Linked DNA regions of Callithrix jacchus. The main gene of each other region encodes a partner of the protein of the gene in region 2 in a complex. Links are inferred from orthologs where the notes say so. Each region holds a gene or a part of one and is shown on either strand. Other genes may lie near its edges. The genes, in order: CACNA1C, CACNA2D1 and CACNA1E.

The links.
Region 1: the proteins of CACNA2D1 (region 2) and CACNA1C are in contact, whole or in part, in a cryo-EM structure (PDB 8WEA), measured with the Homo sapiens proteins. The link is inferred for Callithrix jacchus from reciprocal best matches to the Homo sapiens genes CACNA2D1 and CACNA1C. Residues at the interface, in NP_001353796.1 of Homo sapiens: Thr170, Asp171, Tyr173, Ile233, Leu235, Gly262, Ser263, Ser265, Lys270, Thr274, Ala327, Lys328, Gly329, Ile330, Glu366, Gln391, His392, Tyr394, Ile416, Gly417; in NP_955630.3 of Homo sapiens: Phe147, Pro148, Glu149, Asp150, Asp151, Ser152, Asn153, Ala154, Asn678, Lys1090, Gly1091, Asn1092, Tyr1093, Ile1094, Tyr1096, Gly1099, Val1101, Pro1104, Ile1106, Arg1109, Tyr1156.
Region 3: the proteins of CACNA2D1 (region 2) and CACNA1E are in contact, whole or in part, in a cryo-EM structure (PDB 8EPM), measured with the Homo sapiens proteins. The link is inferred for Callithrix jacchus from reciprocal best matches to the Homo sapiens genes CACNA2D1 and CACNA1E. Residues at the interface, in NP_001353796.1 of Homo sapiens: Thr170, Asp171, Tyr173, Ile233, Leu235, Ser261, Gly262, Ser263, Ser265, Gly266, Leu267, Lys270, Ala327, Lys328, Gly329, Ile330, Thr331, Glu366, Gln391, Asn393, Tyr394, Ile416, Gly417; in NP_001192222.1 of Homo sapiens: Gln110, Leu112, Pro113, Glu114, Asp115, Asp116, Lys117, Pro119, Arg122, Asn630, Phe631, Asn632, Asp633, Gly634, Ile1330, Gly1331, Asn1332, Val1334, His1336, Met1341, Val1343, Arg1346, Arg1393, Ser1394.

What each region holds. Positions count from the first base shown.
Region 1 is NC_133510.1:15,911,523-15,915,168, reverse strand, and holds part of CACNA1C (voltage-dependent L-type calcium channel subunit alpha-1C), read right to left. Parts: intron 2,121-3,646; coding exon 1,768-2,120; intron 1-1,767. UniProt on the Homo sapiens protein: Pore-forming, alpha-1C subunit of the voltage-gated calcium channel that gives rise to L-type calcium currents. Mediates influx of calcium ions into the cytoplasm, and thereby triggers calcium release from the sarcoplasm.
Region 2 is NC_133512.1:67,910,571-67,914,216, forward strand, and holds part of CACNA2D1 (voltage-dependent calcium channel subunit alpha-2/delta-1), read left to right. Parts: coding exon 1-19; intron 20-1,681; coding exon 1,682-1,737; intron 1,738-2,138; coding exon 2,139-2,268; intron 2,269-3,646. UniProt on the Homo sapiens protein: The alpha-2/delta subunit of voltage-dependent calcium channels regulates calcium current density and activation/inactivation kinetics of the calcium channel. Plays an important role in excitation-contraction coupling.
Region 3 is NC_133519.1:39,669,215-39,673,347, reverse strand, and holds the start of CACNA1E (voltage-dependent R-type calcium channel subunit alpha-1E), read right to left. Parts: upstream 2,885-4,133; 5' UTR 2,693-2,884; coding exon 2,611-2,692; intron 1-2,610. UniProt on the Homo sapiens protein: Voltage-sensitive calcium channels (VSCC) mediate the entry of calcium ions into excitable cells.

The DNA.
Region 1 (3,646 bases), on a different chromosome or scaffold from region 2:
CCCGTGGGGCAAAGGCACAGAGTGGAAGCCTCACCTGGAGGGGTTTGCTCTCCTGAACAGAAGGCAGTGAGCCTGAGTCCCTCCTGAGCCAGAATCCCTCCTGAGCTCCAGATCCTCACACACTAGGACGTGCCTTTCCCTCCTGGGACAGGGTCTTATGCTCACAGGCCATGCCTTCTTTAGCTCTGGACCAAGGCCTCTTCCTTTTCCTGTCTAGCTCAGCTCAGTGCCTCCCTCTGTCTTGCTTTCTGTAGACCTTGCATGCTGGGCCCACTTTATCCTCGGATCCCCGAGAGCATCAGGGAAAGATCCTGGTCCATCCTCTCAGAGCTGAGGGCTAGATCAGTGCCCTGGCTCTGAGCATCACTGGCAGGGTAGGAGCAGTTCTCTCTCTTAAGGAGGCCTGCAGATTGCCACTCCCACTGCAGTGGGAAAGAAAGGTTACAGGTGGGAGCTCCAGGAGGATTGGGAGGGGAGGGAAGTGGAGCGAGCTTTGGCGAGGGTGTGGGGGGAGGAGTTGGAGGTGCAGAGCGGAGCAGGCAGGAAACAGCACTTCTGGGAGCCACCGGGCACAGGACGTGCTGGCCCATTCTTAGCACAGGCAACGCCAGGGCCTGAGCTGCCCTTAGCTTTGAGCTGTGACAGAGAGGACAAGGGAGCTGGGATGTGGGTTATGCTCCTCTTCTTCACCAAGCTGAAGCTTGGTGCCCTGTTGTTTGTACTGTCTGCAGTGGGCAGAGGGAACCAACATTTCATGAGCACTGACTGTGTGCTGGGTGCTTTGCGTGTTTTGCTTCATGGAGAGATGTATCTGTGGGGACAAGGAAATTCCCCAGGGTCTCCTCCCCAGCTCCTCTAAACATCTCTTCCCCCTTTTGTCACAGAGAACAAAGCCTCACAGGAAAATGCCCTTAGAGGGTAGGGATTGAATTCACCCTGAGATGCTGAAGATGGACATGGAGCCCTCCTTCAGCAGAGGCTTTGGTGAGGCCAGCAGGGGAGAAGGGGTGTGGGGATCCAGTACCTGAGTCCTCAAAGGCTGTGGGGGGAAGGGGAGTGAGGTTGCAGAGAAGGGTGAGGCCCCCACAACAAATGCAGGCCCCCAAGACTAGATGCCTAGATTAGATCCTCTCCTATGTAAAGCCAGCCCTTGAGGCCAGCACATCAAATCCAGGGCTGAGCAAGCTGCCCTGAGCACAGAAGGCAGCAGTGCAGGCCTCGTGAGCTGAGGGATGCCCCAGTGCTGCCTCTGGGTGGCTAAACCAGCCACCTTGCAGAAAGGAAAGCAGACAGGGGGATGGTCTTTCTAACTTGCCTGTCATCTGACACAATTAAATGCCTGGCCCTAGGGGCTTGCATGCAGCCACTTGAAAATGGGCCCTCTGGGGGGATGGGCAGGCCCACGGCAGGTACCTGCTTCTTGGATGGACACTTTTCCAGGGGTTTGGTGAGAAGCTTCCACTTCTCTTACTATTTTCTGAGCTGGAGGGCAGGCATGTCAGGAGGCTGACATGCTGGGGCGCTGTGCCGCCGGCTGGGAGCCACTGTCCTACTCTGGAAAAGCAGCACAGTTAAGCGGGACTAGGCACCTCTCTCAGCCCCACCAGGGAACGCTGGAGCTGCTGATGCTGACAGGGAGGAGCTCTGCAGGGGCCCAGGGTGGGAGGGAAGTCCCACCATCCCAGCATGTCAGAGCAGTGCATCCTAGAGCACAGGGGATCAGAGGACAAGGAGAAAATACAGCAGGGTGGCCAGCCTCCCGCTTACCTCTGGGAGCTGAGCTTCCAGGCCACCTCCTGCACCCGGATGGCAGGGGACAAGGGGGGCCCATGGCCCTCCACAGTGCTGACCGTGCTGGGGTGGCCAGTGGGGCGGGGGAGGCGGCCCAGGGCGGTGTTGTTGGCATTGTTGATGTTGGCATTGGAGCCGGTGGACGAGTAGCTGCTGGGAGTGAAGGTGGAATCCACCAGCTTCTCGTGGGAAGGCGACTCTGTGTCACCCTGGCTGCTGCCTGCCTTGTTGATGTGCAGCGGGCGCTGAGTGGTGAAGGTCTGGGGGAAGGCGCTCCGGCCGTCACTTTGGTAGTAGCTGACGTGGTTGCCGAAGAGGCCACCGGCCCTCTGTAGGCAAGAAGGACAGGTGGGTGGAGGAGAAGCCCCTCAGTGTCCACCCCTCCCAGAGAGCAGCTTCCACAGTCTGGCCAGTGGAATGCAGGGCCCGGGAAGGCGGGCTGCCTTCCTTTGGGGAGGCACAGCCCTGCTGGGAGCCAGGAGCACCTGAGGTCCTTCTTCATACCTGGCTGCTCCAGAGTGGGAGGGACCCACAGTCTCAAGGCTCCGGGCTCCCCTCTGCGGTAGCTGGGAGAACCCACACACTGGTAGGGATGGGACTGTGCAAGAGGCTCCCGCTGGTATAAGCTGCCCTGGAGGTTTCCAGTGAAGTCCCTGAAGGCTGGGAGCGAGTTTCCAGGGCACATCTAGGACAGCGGTCCCTGAGAGCAGCCAGCACACCGTGAGGGTGGGGGCTGGGAAAACGACCAGAAGATTCTAACCAGATTAAAAATCAATAAATCTGATGTGCTCACGGAGCTAAAAGCTGTGTCGGCCAAACGGTTTTGAAAATGAGGAATTTCCTGCATGATGCTCTTTTTCCCCTCAGGGATTCACAGATAGTTCAAGCCAAGAGCCAGTGTTTTCCCTGAGTATCTTCTCCTTGTCCTGGGGAAGTGGGCAAGGAGCTATTTGCAAGGTTGCAAACTTTGACACCAGAACATCCCTGGGCCTTGGTGACTGAGCCTTTGATTTCTGGGATCATGTCAGGTGGAGTCACAATCATGCCATGTCCCTGAGGCTACTTAGTGACGAATGTCTCAGGTGATGAGGATAAGGATAAGGAAGAGAAGGAGCAGGGGCAGGATGGGCTCGGCTTGCCTCCTGTGTGTTCCACAGCCTGGGAACTGGGCCCTGGGCTGGGAGCAGGTGTGAACAGGGCCCTGCACGATTATGACTGGCAACTTCTCCCTTGCTATAGGAGGAGTTTTAACCAAATACCAGCGGGGTGAGGCAGGTAACACATGTGAGGTATAAATGCCCCTTATTCCGGTACAGCTGTGTTTAATTTTCACTATTGCAACTGCTGGGCAGCTTCAGTCTCCAGGAAGGGAGAGGGAAGGGGGAGGACTGGAGGGGCTTGGAGATCTGCAGAACACATGCTATGCTCCATCTCAAGGGGCAGCTGCCACTAGGCTCCAGCCCTCTGCTGCCCTGCCGGAATGCAAGCTCAAAATTGCAGGTCTCCTGACTTTTCCAAGGAATGCCAGGAGTCTTGATTTTGACCTGAATGTGCCAGATTTTCAAATAGTAGCAAACCAAACAAGCCTGCAGATTAGATATGCCCAGGGTGACCACTTTATAACTTCTGATATAGAAGTTTCTCTTCTCCTAGGAAACATTTCCCTTGGGGAGACACTGTGAAATGCCGTTTCCAGGGAGCCCTGCCTTGGGACGGAGTCAGGCTTGGAAAAGGCAAAGGGGTGAGGACACAGCTGATCAGGAAGAGCCTGGAAGTGGCCCTGTCCTCTGGTGCGGCTCTTTCCCCTGGACGTTCTCCGCAAAACCCTGCCCACCCTCTTGCTCCAAACTGAACT
Region 2 (3,646 bases):
GGGCCACTGCTGCTGCCTGGTAAGTCAAAATTTTCATTTTGTTGGTAATGAAAGAAAGAAGTTGTAAAATAGTAAAACATCTGATGAAAATATGGATTTAGGGGACACTCAAATTTTTATTAAAGGAATTAAGATTTTTTCATTCTCTATAGCACTTACTGGTAATGTTTAAATTTTTTGCTAAGTGAACACTATGAAGTTACCATTCAGTTTCTCATATGAAAACAGTGTTATGCTGATGTAAACTTCAGCCCCTTTAGAGTCTGAAGTTTTTCTTCATGTTTGTTATTGCATTTTACATTTTAGTACTGGTCCCATTAAAACATACAGTTAAGGATTTTAGCATGTTATGACCTTTTTAACCTTTCTTTCTTCTATACATCAGTTGAAATTCTTTTCATTTTTTAAATATTTTTTAAATGCTATATTAATTTCTTTTAGGTGTATTGATCTGTAAGAGGTTACAATTTAATTGTCCTTAATATCCAAGTTGGATGTCTACATTCATCAAACTCATGACATAATGGCAACCTTCTACCTCTTTACTATTAATACAAGGACTGGCATAGTGTAGAGGCATCATGTTGCTAAAATGGATCTAATTCTTTCTTTTCATTGATTCTACCTTCCAAACCTCCCCTATCCCCCACCTATGTACCCTACAACCTATGAAAATAAGACATGTAAGTGGTTAATTGTGGCACTGTGGAAAGTCTGCAAAGTCACATTTCTCAATGTTTAGTTCTGGTCAGTCAGGTAATTAAACCACCTGTTATGTCAGGGATCCATGATCTCCCTTGTCCCTTTCTCCCTTCCGGTTTTTTTTTTTTTCGTATTATCATAGTACTGTATTGTTCAACCCTATTCCATGTAGATTAATCTACAACATTAATTTTATATTGAGGTTTATTTATATTTAGTGATTATATCATTAAAGTAGCAAAGACGATTTTAAAATTTTAGATTTTGAAAAGATTTAGAAAATTCTGATGTGATTTTATATACTAACTTTGGTAGGCTTTAAAATTTCATCATAACCCTGAAATACTTGCCTTTATATCGCCTCCCCCGCATTTTTACAACTAAATTCAGTTCTAGATATTTGGCTCAGTGGTCCATTACTATAAAACTCAAATATGCTGTATCTCTGTACATCATATGAATATTTTGTTCTATGAATGTCACATTACATCTTTACAAATATATTCTATATTACAAAGTAAATAGTTAACAAATTCAAACCCATGGTATAAACTGCATTGTTCCTTTGTTGGGGATGGGGGGAACCCAAAAAAACAAATGGTTTTAAAATCTAAAATAAGGAGAAGTAATGAATTTAAAAACCTATGCACTGAAGCACTGACCTTCTGCCTCTTAGAGTGGATACTTCTGGTTGATAAGATTGCCTGTTAGGCCTCTTCACACATTGTCTCTCACTGGGTCCTGAACAAGATCTGAACACTTCTGACTTAATTACTTCTTTTACACATTAAAGAAAGGTTACAATGTGTTATATAATTTAAAAAGTACTTAAAACACTCCTAAACTTTCTATGAACAAATTCTCAATCTCTCATTTTTTTCCCAAAAGGATAAAGGGAAACAGTATTTATGCGTATGTGTACATGCAAAAACACTTCGTTTCCTAGATTTTTATTATTTTATTTATTTGAAAAATTCAGGTCTATTCTACAGCAGTTTCTCTTGAGTTTGACCTTTCCACGACTCCTTGAGGCAGGTATGTAAATGCTCACACCTTGTCATAATAAAATTTTCTTTTTGGATGTGCTTGAGTTCAACAAATTCAGAGAATATATGTGTCAGAAAGAGAAAACAGATCACCAGTCTCATAATTTTAGAGCTAGAAACTTTTTGTCCAGCCTTTTCTAATGTTTTAGAAATCACATAGGTCACATTGGCCTTGAACTCATAGCTATCATGTATTTGAATTAATTTATTCTATTGATATTTATCAGGCCTCTACTAGGGACTGCCATGATCGTACACAGCAATAAACAAGCCGCTAGTCGAGGCATCCTGGTCTTATACATTTATTTTGCTCTGTAAGACATGAAGACTCCGGGTGACCGACTACAGTGGCCCTTCCTAATGATGTTCTTTGTTTTTACCCCTGACAAGTTGAGATGGAGGATGATGACTTTACGACCTCCCTGTCAAAGCAGAGCTGCATTACTGAACAAACCCAGTATTTCTTCGATAACGACAGTAAATCATTCAGTAGTGTATTAGACTGTGGAAACTGTTCCAGGTAACTTATTTATTTATTTCTAGAGTAGTCTGATTTCATTAAGAAATTGTATCATTACAGAAAATACTGAAAATTATGTTGAAGTCAGAGTTATGAGTAATTGTTTTAAGTTGATGTCAGAGATCTTCTCTTTAGGCTTTTAAAAATTATAGTTTTCTAAAATTCTAACTTTGATAAATTAGTTGTTATTTCTTCAATAATAATAATTAAATGATCAAGATAATTACTTTCCCTTTAGGCAGAACACAGATAAATTTCATTATATTAGAAATTTTTTAAATGGGTACTTTTAGAAAAAAATGTGAACATACAAATTTGCAAAATTAAATATATTGCTAATTCTAAATAATTCTAAGGCAAATATGATTACTTTTGCAATATTGTAACTAAACAGATTTACAAAAAAGTCTTGTTTTGTTTTCACTTCTAATCTTCTCTGACTTGAAGAACTGAATGTTAGCCTAATTTGAATTTGAAGGAACTGGGAATATATAGTTTTCTTAGATCATTGTTAATGTTAGTATCCATAAAACATCTTTTAAAATGTTGGGAAGAGATGGAGAATTTAATTTCATTGTAATGAGGATAGAGGAGAAAGGCAAAATGAAGATTTTGAGGGGAAAGTCATAAGTAATGCCACCGGATCCCTGGGAACAGAGCAGCAAGTCACAGCTTGCAAAGCATAGAATTGAGACGCTTTGTCTGTAGAGGTGGAGGGAAGGTTATTCTAGAAGAAATTTTACCACAGAGGAAGAAATACGAGGAGGTGAGGTAATCTGAGATTATGGAAGTGCCAGAATAGTTGAACAAAAAACCTTTTTTTTTCTTCAAGAGGGGCTAAACAATCATGAATTTTTAGTAGATGTGGTCAGTATGTTTTATGACTTTCTTTAGAAACTCTCTGTGTCCAAGGAGGAGGTAGAGTATATGAAGAGAAAAAGAAAGGGGAGGATGAACTCACAAAAAAAGTAGACTATCTTGTTTAAAGATGAGCATATCAGGCTATAGACTTCAGGAAATGGAACTGTGGCATGTTTATTGGATACATCAGAGTTTCCCAGAAATTGGTCTTTTATTAATGGACATCCAGCAAGAGCAATGTGTGCTTAAAGAACTAAGTTAAATTGTAAAGTAAAGGTCAATATAACCAAGACATTAAATTGAATCATACTTTCCTTTTAATTTGCTTTATGAAAATCAAAGCTTAACAGGGCAAAAACATAAAATCCCACTTCTTTAATCATAAAGAAAGTACTTTAGTGATATATTTACATTTTGTTACTAAAGTAGAATCAGCTTAAGGTGCGGACAAAACGGGATGGAATTCAAAACCCTTGATTCTGTTCTGGTCTGTGTTGTCCAGTGCAGTAGTTACCAC
Region 3 (4,133 bases), on a different chromosome or scaffold from region 2:
GGATTCTTGCCCTCATAAACTTCACAGTCTAAGGTAGAAGACAGAGGTTAAAGAACTAATGATATGCACCAGTGGTAAGGTTTCAGGGGCCACAGTAAAGACGGGAACCCTGAGGGCTGCGCATATCAGCCCCACCTCAGATAGCTAGGTGGCTGTTCACTCCCATTTTTGGTGGAAGAATCCCTCTAACCCTTTCCCCAGGGCCCAACTCCTTTGAGGGAATTCCCACCCACCACCTGCTGCCCTGCCTCCCAAGCACGTGCTCCCAGGGGACCAAGCCTCAAGGTGGGCGTTTTTTTATTTATTCGTTTTGAGGTACGATCTGTCACCCAGACTGGAGTTCAATGGCGCAATCATAGCTCACTGCAGCATCAACCTCCCAGGGTCAGACAATCCTCCTCTCTCAGCCTCCCAAGTAGCTGGGACCACAGGCACGTGCCACCACAGCCAGCAATATTTTTTTTTATTTTTTGTAGAGATGGCATCTCCCCATGTTGCCTAGACTGGTCTCAAACTCCTGGACTCAAGCAATCCTCCTGACTCAGCCACCCAAAGTACTGGGATTACAAGCATTGCCTCTGAGCCCAGCCTACGGAGAGCTCTTCTTGAGAACTGAGTCCTGTCTGCAGGTTCCTTCCTCCTTTTGTTTTTTGAGATGGAGTTTTGCTCTTGTTACCCAGGCTGGAGTGCAATGGCGCGATCTTGGCTCACCGCAACCTCCGCCTCCTGGGTTCAAGCAATTCTCCCGCCTCAGCCTCCTGAGTAGCTGGGACTACAGGCACGTGCCACCATGCCCAGCTAATTTTTGTATCTTTAGTAGAGACGGGGTTTCACCATGTTGACCACGATGGTCTCGATCTCTTGACCTCGTGATCCACCCGCCTCAGCCTCCCAAAGTGCTGGGATTACAGGCTTGAGCCACCGTGCCCGGCCTCCTTCCTCCTTTTTTAATGCATGTATCTGCCTCAGGACCTGGGGGCCACGTGTGACTCAGGTGCTCCTGTTGCTCCCCTTGGCATCATTCTCCTTTTCCATGCCAAGGAGGATACAGCCACATTGGCCTCTGAAAGACATACACATTGAACCGGTGTTTACTGAGGGCTTACCATGTGCTGGGCACTGTGCCATGCAGTGGGCACAACAACAGGAGCTGGACTTAGTCCACAGCATCCTCATGGGAGAGACAGGAAGAACACTGATTATGACCATGACAGGATGTGCTGTAATTGGCACAGGCCTGATTGCTAGAGGAGCACATGTGAGGGGCACCTGGTTGGGCGCGGTGGCTCACGCCTGTAATCCCAGCATTTTGGGAGGCCAAGGCAAGTGGATCACTTGAGGTCAAGAGTTCGAGTCCAGCCTGGCCAATATGGTGAAATACAAAAAATACAAAAAATAGCCAGGTGTGGTGGTGTGTGCCTCTCGGGAGGCAAGGCAGGAGAATCACCTGAACCCAGGGGACAGAGGTTGAAATGAGCCAAGATCACACCATTGCACTCCAGCCTGGGTGACAGAATGAGACTCGATCTCAAAAAAGAAAAAAAAGAGGGATACCTAGCCCAGCTGGGGGTGGTCAGGAGGGCTTTGTGAAGGAAAGGACCTAGAGCTGGGTTAAACAGAGCTTGCCAGGTGAGGAACAGGAAAGGAGTATGGGCAAAAAGGAAGAGCATGTGTGTGAGGGAGGATTTAGGGAAACCAAGGATTCCTCCTGCCCTGCTGGTCACTCCTCTCTCCTCCTTTGTGCACTGCTCCTCCACTACTACACCCCTAAAGGCTGAATCCAAAGCCAATGAGGTGTTTCCCTGTTTCACGCCTTATGGACGTGCCCAAGTGAACACAGCATTCCAGGTGGGTGGCTCATACCAGACCTTGACATGCTCCAATTAGCAAAGGTTTAACCTAATGAGAAACTTAAAAGTTACCCACACACCGCTAGTCCCCATAGTAAGTCTAAGGATGGAGTCCAGGGACGGGGGCAGGGAACCAGCCCTTCTGACTTGAGACAGCCTGAACTTACCACCTTTTCAAGATACCTGCTTATTGTCTCCCTCCTAGCCAGGAGCCGCAAACCGGAATTCCTCCCAACCACATGTCTTAGTGACCACAAAGTGGCATCTAAGAAGTAGGCCATGCTCTATGTGCTCAGAGGAGCCCGGGCCTCCAGATCATTCAACTAGTGTGGGATGGTTGAGCCCCTACTACATGTTGGGAGCTGTGCAGGGCCCCCAGGGTGGCATCCTCCCGGACGCTACCCTCCAGGCACCACCCCTTCCCTGGGCTGGACTGCAAGTCAAATTGCAAATCACAAATACAAAGACTATTTCAATGGTTAGAAATCTTAATGCTCTAACCGTATCATTTTATGGATGCTGAGATCCAGAAAGGTAGAGAGCCCCGCCCAGGATCACACTGCCAATAAAAAGCAGAGCTGGGAGAGAAGTCAGATTTCAAGTCCTAGCTTACGGTTTTCTCCACTACATTAATCATATGTCTCTAGCACATGGAGCAGAATCCATAAATGCCTCTCCCAGCCCCCACCCCCCTCCTCATTATGCTAAGACAGCAAATAGAAACAAAAAGGCTGGATGAGAGGATGATCTTAGCACATACCTGATAAAGCCTGATGGGAGCATTCAGTAGCCCTGGGTGTCCCTAGAGCCCTAAGATACCTTCTCTTTGTCTCCTTCTCCATCTCTAACGTCTGTACTGGTCTTCCTCACCCTACCGGCACCACACCCTACAGCCTCAATGTTTTTGATCTTGAAGCTCCCAGGACATGGTAGCCAGCACTAGGTACATGGCCACCGAGGCCAGGTCAAGGGAGCAGGAAGAAGGAAGACAAAGGGTCCAGAATGAGCTTGGTACGGAGGAGAAAATGTATCCCAAATCATGCCAACAGCAGGGTGGGTCCCTAGAAAGAGTGATTCATGTTCTTCACGTTGTCATTCTGTCTCAACTCCCCTTGAGGGATTTTAAATTTATCCTTCATTCCTACGATGTTTAAATGTCTCTCCCTCACCACATGCACGCACACACCCCTTCCGTGCTGCTCCCACTCCCTCTCCAGGCCTTAGCATCTCCAGCAACTCCAAGAATTCTCAGGCTCTGCTGGCTGCAGCCTCCTCTCCCTCATGTCTCTCTGTGACAAAGGCTACAGGGCCGCCCTCCCACCTCTCACCAGGCCACCAGTAGCTGGCTCCCACCTCCATTTCCTGACCCACCCCACTCTCTCTCCTTACATGATTTCCTCTTCTCAGACACTTTGCCAATTTGAAGCACATCTTTGCCAACATTACAACAGCAATAATATGCACTGTGGAGCTCTGGCTTTAACAGAATCAGTGTTATGAATATCAAAACATAAAATCATCTTCTCTTTCCTTTAAGAATTTCTGTTAAACAAGCCTTCTATTATTGATATAAACGTTCATCAGGAGGATCTGTCGCCCCCACTGTTTGCCAAGCCGGTCAGTCCCCAGTTCTGGCTAGCACCAAGCTGAGATCTCAAGCAATTCAGACAAGCCAGTCTATATCTTCTAGGAAAGGACACTTGAATCTATACTTAGCCTTCCCCCTCCAATCCCCAAATTCTGGCATTCCTTAAATTCCTTGAGATCAAAGATTTTGTCTTGTTCATCTTTCTATTCCTAGCACCTGGTACTGATTTCAACTCATAGTAGGTGCTTATGGTGGCCATTAGTGCTGTTTGTCAAATATTCTGATTATCCCCCTCTTGGGCACATGGTAGGATGTATTTCCTGGCCCTCTATGGTTAAGTGGGGCCATGTGACCATTCTGGCCAGTGAGTTGTGAGTGGAAGTGATATAAGTTACTTAAGACTAGCATGTAAATGCCAGTACAAAACTCTCTAGAGCAAGGATTGGCAAACTCTCCAAAGGGCCAGAAAATAAATATTTCAGGCTTTGCATGCCACATAGTCTCTGTTGCAGAGGGCCAGAACATAAATATTTTGAGCTTTGCATGCCATACAGTCTCTGTTGCAACTACTCAAACTCTGCTGTGGTACCATGAAAGCAGCCAGAGAATACGTAATGAGTGGGCATGACTGTCCTGATAAAACTTTATTTTAAAGCCTTGTCACTTTGGTCTTTCAACTGCATCTCTTGGACTCC